3 linked regions of the Saccharomyces cerevisiae S288C genome follow. Changing the gene in region 1 together with any one later gene gives a genetic interaction. Each region holds a gene or a part of one and is shown on either strand. Other genes may lie near its edges.

The links. Genes that interact genetically often act in the same process or in processes that back each other up.
Region 2: mutations in URN1 (region 1) and HUB1 impair growth when combined (synthetic growth defect), as found in Saccharomyces cerevisiae (4 studies listed by BioGRID, with this or other methods).
Region 3: mutations in URN1 (region 1) and BUD13 together harm fitness more than expected from each alone (negative genetic interaction), as found in Saccharomyces cerevisiae (3 studies listed by BioGRID).

What each region holds. Positions count from the first base shown.
Region 1 is NC_001148.4:831,429-835,407, forward strand, and holds URN1 (Urn1p), read right to left. Parts: upstream 2,031-3,979; coding exon 633-2,030; downstream 1-632. Other genes in the region: SUE1 (Sue1p), read right to left, coding at 1-247; MAY24 (May24p), read left to right, coding at 2,261-2,265, 2,400-2,817; PIN3 (Pin3p), read left to right, coding at 3,137-3,784. UniProt on the Saccharomyces cerevisiae protein: Component of the spliceosome involved in mRNA processing.
Region 2 is NC_001146.8:686,743-688,983, forward strand, and holds HUB1 (ubiquitin-like protein HUB1), read right to left. Parts: upstream 723-2,241; coding exon 501-722; downstream 1-500. Other genes in the region: putative serine/threonine-protein kinase PPG1, read left to right, coding at 1-374; ABZ1 (4-amino-4-deoxychorismate synthase), read left to right, coding at 893-2,241. UniProt on the Saccharomyces cerevisiae protein: Forms conjugate with SPH1 and HBT1. Involved in morphogenesis.
Region 3 is NC_001139.9:172,987-175,845, forward strand, and holds BUD13 (Bud13p), read left to right. Parts: upstream 1-1,558; coding exon 1,559-2,359; downstream 2,360-2,859. Other genes in the region: YGL176C (uncharacterized protein), read right to left, coding at 1-93; ssDNA endodeoxyribonuclease SAE2, read right to left, coding at 299-1,336; chromatin-binding exonuclease XRN1, read right to left, coding at 2,541-2,859. UniProt on the Saccharomyces cerevisiae protein: Required for efficient splicing and pre-mRNA nuclear retention. May also be involved in positioning the proximal bud pole signal.

The DNA.
Region 1 (3,979 bases):
GCCTGTATCCGCTATACAGAATATCGCGGGTGAGCTCCCTAGCTTCCAAATACTGTGTAGTAGGTACTTTGGGCAGCGATCTAAAGTCATAGAAATGCGCATTCTTTAAAATCTTTGAACTCCTTTGCTTGGTAATTTGTTGATGTTGCTGCCTTATGGGGTTCACCAGTCTGCTGTGAGTCCTTCTTTGCAAGCTTACAAAAGAGACGCTGACGCCCCTAATTTTTGTCCTCTTTAATAAAATCATCCTTATTCACTATTTCCGTACGTATATATGTCTTTGTATATACGTGTATGCGTGTGTGTTTCGTTACTCTCTATAATTCAACTAAAATGTATACATGCAGACACACACTCAGAGGGAAAAAATAAATGTGCTATAAATAATGAAACACAAGAAACATCTAAAGTCCGAAAATTGCACCTGCTCTTATCATTCATTCTTATACAAAAGTGACTAGATATGATGGCGGATCCCGCAGCCCCAATCACTGGCAAAGAGCCTGAATACCGATAGGTACACTAAGCGTAAAGACCCTACCGTATTCTGGTTGCTATCACCACCCCACTTCCATCACGTCCATACCAGGTGCGTAAGCTTAATCACTCTTTGCTCCCCTGGTCTGCCCTTCCTATTCCGGATTTATCGGCTCGTTCCCCGCGCCCACTGGGGTAAACCGGCTTGATGGCCCGACCTCGGCGGCTAGCCACCGCACCCAGACCACGGTCTTCTCCAGAATGCCCACGACGTAGTAGCGTGGTTCCGTCACCACTATTGGGCTGACACAACACCTGTGCTCAATGCTCAGCAATATATCCTCTATACTACTACTGTCCGCGGGTGCTTTCAGAAGTGTTTGCCATCGGTCGATAAGCTCTTTGTCCTGACGCAGCGATTCGACTGCCCCCGTAAAGTCTCGTTCGTGATCCCGTAGGCAATCGCAGAAAATCTCTTTCCGCTGTTCCAAGTCGAACGTCTTATAATAAAACAGCAGTTGGGAAACGAATTTGTCTTGGTCGCGCTTCGACGGTATATACTCCTTGATTTTGTAGGCCTTGTATAACGCTTTTTGTTGTTTCCTTATATCTTGTGGGATGGTGTCGGGTGCGATTGTTCCCGCATTAGCAACAATTTGTGCCAGATAATGGTATTTTGTTGGTTCTAGTACTTCGCTATCGTCTTCGCTATTATCTTCGCTATCGCTTTCTTCAGCGGTGGCATTGCCACTGCGCTCGCCGCACCATTCTTCGAAAAGACTTTCACGAACTGTGTCATCTCTGATCTTGTAAAAATCAGGATCGTTTTCGATTTTCTTGCTTTGCAGCGACCACGTGGAAAACTTGTCTAGTTTATACCTATCGAATAATTCGAAGAAGATATTACGCTCGTCAATGTCATCTGTATCAATACGATTCAGATCATCGATAATGCTGATATCTTGATTTACAATTTGTTCTTCATTCTCTTCGTCTTCCTCTTCGTCTTCCTCTTCGTCTTCCTCCCCCGAAGATGAACCATACCCGCTGACTAGCCCAGTGTGGCTTTCCTGTAAAGGGGATTTTACGTCACCCGCCTCTTCGCTGATCTCATCTTTTCTCTCAACTTCGTCTTGATTTCTTTTAAATAGATGAATCTCTTCGTTGCAAGATTCGAGGATTTTATCAATGTCCTCCTCCCGCATAGTGTAACCTCTGGCAACGCCAATCAGAAGAACCAGTTTTTCCTTATCTAACGACTCGATTAATGAGCGACACCTGCTGTCGTCCTCTTGACTGATGTCATTTTTGAACTCCTTAGAGTCATCATTAAAGTAAAGTTTTGTACCATCGTTGTATATTATTAAGTGCCAACCATTAACCAGTTCTAATGAAAATGTTGGCTTCCTCTCTGTCTGTGATTCTTTCGCATTGCTTTCTAGGTTAGAGCCTTTCTTCAAATTAGGTTTTTCCCATCGAGACTGCTTCGTGTTCTTATTATAGTAATACTTTTTGCCTGCAGGTGTCTTAAATTCCTGCCATTCTCCACGCATGGCGATTCTGTGTTACTGAACTGTCTTTCTCTTTATAATACATATCAGAATCTCTTTCGGACACTATTTCCTCTTTCTTCAATTATATTGTTTTCTCTTTCATTGCCGAAGAAAAAAAGAAACATACTGAAAGTTGATAAATATGCAATAATAAAACCTTTTCCTACTCTTGACGCTTCTGTATAAGATAAAAACTGCCAACAAGATCAGTTCCAACTTCCTGCCGTATTATGAGGTATGTTATTCATTACCAAGACTATATCCGCCACGGCTGGATGCAGGCATCGCTCCCTGTGGCTTAAGAAAATAATAGGCACAAAACTAACAATAAAAACATCCACTACTCTGTCGCATGTTCCCTGTGCTCAGATCATTCGTAACAAATAACGATATACCTGTTGGATATGTAACGCCAAAATTCCCCTCATTATACTGGCCCATCAACAACTCGAAGTATAATACTGCATTCTTATACTATATATCTGACATTTGGAAATTTTCGCTGTACTGGACTTTGATCTTTAATGGTGCATTTTACGTTACTGCTGGTGTGTATGCTAGCTTGACCCATAGAAAGAAGGCTGGAAGTGTATGGATATTCGTCATGTACGTCTTATACGGAGGCGTTCAAGGCTTGACGACTGGTACAGTTATGGGGTTTTTAATAGGTGCGATCTATAGATCTGGTTTATTTTCTATGTCTACATGGGTCCCACTTTGTTGCGCAGTAGTCCAAATCCTTTTCGATGTGGTGCTAAGTTATTCCATGGTTGGTTCCGTTATGTGAAAGCTTCTGTCAAGAAAAAACAAGAAGGGGTTTACTGATTTGATGATAAAAGTTAGCAGCAACTTTTGAATGAGAATGTGCCATCCTTCACGTAAAGAGCCTAATACTCTTTCTTCAAAGCGCTAGATTGTTCTAAACGTTTCTTTAACTATTGTTTTCGTTCGTGCAGCGTGATTAACCGAGCCTCCTTCGAGGCGGGGATGGATATTGTAAGCTGCATATATAGTCGAACCTCAAATCGGTTGAGACAATAGGCAAAGTGCCCACATTGGCGCAAACACAAGAACATTAGGAAAGAAGGCAATCTGATATTTCAAAAATGTCTGCTTCATTGATTAATCGTTCCTTAACAAACATTAGGACAGAACTGGATTTTCTAAAAGGGTCAAATGTCATTTCAAATGACGTTTACGATCAAATAAATAAGAGCTTGCCGGCAAAATGGGATCCTGCCAATGCACCCCGCAACGCCAGTCCAGCTTCCTTGGAATATGTCGAAGCTCTTTATCAATTTGATCCTCAACAAGATGGTGATTTGGGCTTAAAACCAGGTGACAAGGTCCAACTTTTAGAAAAATTATCTCCAGAGTGGTACAAGGGTAGCTGTAATGGCCGTACCGGTATTTTCCCAGCAAACTATGTCAAGCCAGCTTTCTCTGGGTCTAACGGTCCATCCAATCTTCCACCACCTCCACAGTATAAAGCTCAAGAATTACAACAAATCCCCACGCAAAATAGTGCCGCATCATCTTATCAACAGCAGCCATTTCCTCCACCTTCCACAAATTATTATCAGCAGCCTCAACAACAGCCGCAACAAGCTCCTCCTCCCCAACAACAACAACAACAACAACAACATCAGAGCTCACATAGCCACTTGAAGAGCTTTGGTAGCAAATTGGGTAATGCCGCCATTTTTGGGGCAGGCGCTAGTATTGGGTCAGATATTGTTAATAATATCTTTTAAGTCGTTTTTCTCTTTATATACTTCATTCATTTGTTCTCCATTATGGCCAAACCTTTCATAAATTGAACGAAGTTCTACCTTTGGTGTTGTTATCCCTAGAATTTTTTTCTAATGAGTATGAATTTAAGTAACCTTTTTTTTTCTTTTTTTTTAAACAGATATATCGTATATGGAGGATAATAGTACATCACTTAT
Region 2 (2,241 bases), on another chromosome or scaffold:
GAGCCCATCAGTTATGTAACGAAGGTTACCAGATATATTTTGATGGATTGGTTACTACTGTATGGTCGGCGCCAAACTATTGTTATCGGTGCGGCAATAAAGCATCTATTCTGGAGCTGTATAGTAAAGATCAATTCTACTTCAACGTTTTCGAAGAGGCACCTGAAAATAAACTGTTGAAAGAGAACAGTATGAACGACAATGCCTTAGAAGATAGCATATCTAATCCGGTAGCCAACAGGAAATTGATTGCAGATTATTTCGAAGACGACTCTGCCTCCGCAGATGGCTCCACGGACCCTGAAATGTACATATTTTCAGATGTATACCAAGCCAGATCTGCTTCTAACAGACATGTTGATTACTTCTTGTAGCTTACTAAACAATAGAAAAGCATTATAGAGACAACGCCATCTTATTATTTCTACATATTCTATCTCTCTCGGTTGCAAATGTATGTATTGTGTATTTAGATCAAAAAAAAAAAAACAGCGCATTTTCTACAGGTAATACAGCTCCAAATTTGTCTGATCATGTACCTCATAATCTTCCAGAGAGATATGGTCTTTTAAAACACTTCCACCCTTCTGCAACACAATTTTGTTTGGTTGGGTGCCAATTTGCAAGGACAATACTTTTTTGAAATCACCTACACTATCTTCAGCAAGGCACTTCACTCTGACTTTTTTGCCTAATCGGTCATTCACAACTACCTCAATCATTTTCAGAGTATTTATTTGCAATCTAAGCTTTGCCACCGCTCCTCTTTCTCAATCTTTTCCTCTCCCTCCTCATCTCTCTCAGCCAAAACCGCGAATATATAAAAACAAGCAAGTCTCCCGTAGAACTTTTACACGATGACCTTTCGAGATTTCACAAGGGGGATAAAGGAATGCTGTCCGATACAATTGACACAAAGCAACAACAGCAACAGCTTCATGTCCTGTTCATAGACTCTTATGATTCATTCACCTACAATGTAGTGAGACTAATTGAACAACAAACTGATATCTCACCGGGAGTCAACGCCGTGCACGTGACGACGGTACATAGTGATACGTTCCAATCTATGGATCAGCTATTGCCACTTTTGCCGCTTTTTGATGCTATCGTTGTTGGCCCAGGACCTGGGAATCCCAACAATGGTGCACAAGATATGGGTATAATATCTGAGCTTTTCGAGAATGCCAATGGAAAGTTAGATGAAGTTCCAATATTGGGTATATGTCTTGGGTTCCAAGCAATGTGCTTGGCTCAAGGTGCTGATGTCAGTGAGCTAAATACTATCAAGCATGGGCAAGTGTATGAAATGCATTTAAACGATGCAGCCAGAGCTTGTGGCCTTTTTTCTGGTTATCCCGATACGTTCAAATCTACGAGGTACCATTCATTGCATGTCAATGCCGAAGGCATTGACACCCTTTTGCCCTTATGCACAACCGAAGATGAGAACGGTATTCTTTTGATGAGTGCTCAAACGAAAAATAAGCCATGGTTTGGCGTACAGTACCACCCGGAGTCATGTTGTTCAGAATTGGGGGGGCTGTTAGTCAGTAACTTTCTCAAGTTGAGTTTCATAAATAACGTGAAGACAGGAAGGTGGGAAAAGAAGAAACTTAATGGAGAGTTTTCCGATATCCTATCTCGATTGGATAGGACTATTGATAGAGACCCCATATACAAGGTAAAAGAGAAATATCCGAAGGGCGAGGACACAACTTACGTTAAGCAGTTCGAGGTCTCTGAAGACCCGAAATTGACATTTGAAATTTGCAACATCATACGAGAAGAAAAATTTGTCATGTCATCTTCTGTGATTAGTGAAAATACGGGTGAATGGTCTATCATTGCTTTACCAAACTCCGCATCCCAGGTATTCACTCATTATGGAGCTATGAAAAAGACTACAGTTCATTATTGGCAAGATAGTGAAATTAGTTACACCTTGTTGAAAAAGTGTCTAGATGGTCAAGATTCGGATTTGCCTGGCTCCCTTGAGGTAATACATGAAGATAAATCCCAATTTTGGATCACTTTGGGTAAATTTATGGAGAATAAAATAATCGATAACCACAGAGAAATACCTTTTATTGGAGGTCTTGTTGGCATTTTAGGTTATGAAATAGGTCAGTACATTGCATGCGGCCGTTGCAATGATGATGAGAATTCCCTTGTTCCCGACGCCAAACTAGTTTTTATCAACAATAGTATAGTCATTAATCACAAGCAAGGGAAGCTTTA
Region 3 (2,859 bases), on another chromosome or scaffold:
CGTTCCCGTGGTAGAAATGCTTTGATTTTCAGATATGCGAAAATAACGTCGACGTTCTCTATCATAATAAAACCCTGGTAAGTTAGGTGTCATTTGTTTAACGTCCGTTAACTTCCCCTTTCTGCTTTACCAACTGCTGCTTATTTATTCGCCCTTTTTTGTTTTCCATTGTTGTTCATCTCATTGCCTTTTTTTATTTTTCAGTTTTTCCCATATGCCAACGAGGAAAAAAGCCCTTTCAACCATACCAAAAAAAATGTATTTGAAGTAATGAATAAAGAATGATGATCGCTGGCGTTTAACATCTAGCATATATCTGCAATAATTTATCACTCCAGAAGAAACATCCATCGTCAACAATTTGATTTAATTGTTCTCTTTTGAATACATATTCTCTCTCGTACGGTGGGATCTTGTTATTGCTTGCCATTAAAAACCTATATTTTGTCTTTCTTCTGATGATTTCCTGGGATTTCTTTTTGTCCTCGTTCCCTTCCTGAGTGGAGGGAAAATCCAGTCTTCCAAAACCTGGGGGGGATTTTGATCTATTCCTCAAGTTATCAAACGCAAATTCGTAGTCCGAATTTTGCGATTCTATAACTACTGACAATGATCTGTGTTTAGAATCCTCTGGCTTTCCAACTTGGGCATAAAATCGCTCCAATTTTCTTCTTCCTCTCTTAACCGGGGCGATATCTTCATTTGGTCTAAAGTCTTCGAGAATCCAGGCTCGCTTTGTTAAAGGGTTCGTATTGAAGTCAAACAGGAAATTATCCTTAACATTTTTGTATAAATTTGGCGATGTAGATTCAGGGTTCTCGAGCTCTATTCCCAATAGTTTTCTTGTTTTGTTCTCTTTATCATTATCTTTTTCGTGGATTACAGTATCAGAGCAATCTTCCAAATCGCTTAAGTTGTTGAGGCCATTTAAAGGCGAACTAAACTCCGAAATTTTCCGTTTATGCCTATTAGGTGGCATAGTAACCAGCGGTAACTGCACAGTGTGTTTATTTTCATTACGATAGTGAACCTCTGCTGATTCTTTCTTTATGTCCTCATCAAACTGAGTAAGGATGAAATCTTCAGAATCTTGCTCACCTGGCCCCGCAGACGTCTGAGAGGATTGTTGAGGAGCATTTTTTTCGTGACATAGAATTTCAGCCAGTTTACTGTTAGGTTCTTCGAGAACACATTTATTCCGATTTTGCAGTGCTTGAACACGTTTCGCGATTAAGGTAGTCACGTCATACTGCACATTTAGTAGTTCATCGAGACTGAGCTCCTTGAGAATGGATAAGCTTGACTTTAGATACACATTTTCTTCACCAGTCACCATCTCACATACAAACACCTAATGGCTTACAGCATGGATGGAAATGCAGGTATGTGAACGATAACAATGTTTGCAAACGTAAACAAAAAAGGTATTAAAGCTTAAAAGCTTTTTTTTTGTAGAACGCGCTTAGAAAATGGCATAAAGAAAATGGCTATTTGACTTGATTTTGAAAGTTGTTCTCAAGACTCGAATGGTGGAAGATAACAACAGGACGTTTATTACATGGCATTGCATCAGTATTTATCAGAGACTTATGGGCCCACGAAACCCAAAAATAAGACGAAAAAGAAGAAGAAAGAGTCAAAATCAGACGCTAACTCAGACAAAACTTCTTTGATAGTAAAAGAACGGCTAAGTACACTGCAACAAGAACAGGAGAAGTCAGGAGTTGCTTCATTCAGCAAGTTTGACAAACAAAAAAGCAAGAATATATGGAAGAACCTGGAAACAAACGAGCTTTCCCATGCAATAACACATCCTTCCGCATCGTCAATTACTGGCAACGAAAGCAAGAACGATCTAAAGGAAATCAGGGCTCAAGAGCCACTTGTCACAGTAGCAGACAAATCGAAAACACGAAAAACCATATACAGAGACGCTCAAGGTCACAAGATTCAGGAAGATTCCAAGATAGACGATTCTAGTTTTAGTCGATCTAAATATGAAGATGAGAAAGCCGCGGAAAGAGAGCAATACCTGAAAAATTTGAATATGGGAGACGTGCAAAAGCTTGGAATAAATGTAGATGCACATGATAAGAAGAAAAATCAAACTGCCTCGAGTCTGACGATAGAAGACCCTGCAATAACATTTACACATGACAAAGAAAGAACTGTAAAAACATCTTTACTGGGCCGCAAGCTTTATGATAAGCCAGCACCTGAGAACAGGTTTGCCATTATGCCTGGGTCAAGATGGGACGGTGTCCACAGATCAAATGGCTTTGAAGAAAAATGGTTTGCTAAGCAAAATGAGATCAATGAGAAGAAAGTGCAAAGCTACACCCTACAGGAGGATTATTGAAAATGAGATAATATATAACTATGCGGAAAGCTTTGTGTAAAAAATACCCTTTGACAATCCCCATTTGTTATAAGCTTTTTCTTAACAAGATCAACGATTAAATACAAATACCCCTCTTTATATAGGTCTCAGATATACTATTAAAGTAACCTCGAATATACTTCGTTTTTAGTCGTATGTTCTAAGTAGATTCGTCTTTTTTATTATCACGGTCAGCAGCATTGCTTTGTGACTTTGGCGATTGACATTCAGTAGAGTTTGTGCCAGAAGAAGGTTTAATCTCGCCTTTCCTACTGTTCTTTGTTTCTCCCCCAATAGTTGAACCATTGCTGTGCTGTTTACCATTAATGAATTTTTTCAAATCTTGGCTTTCCTTTTCATTGACAACAATACGACTTCCTTGATCTGAAACATTTGTCATAGGAGGTGGAGGTGGGAAGGAAATCGGTTGTCCAAACCCATGTGGTGCTGGTGGCGGAATAGACATTCCATTCATATTA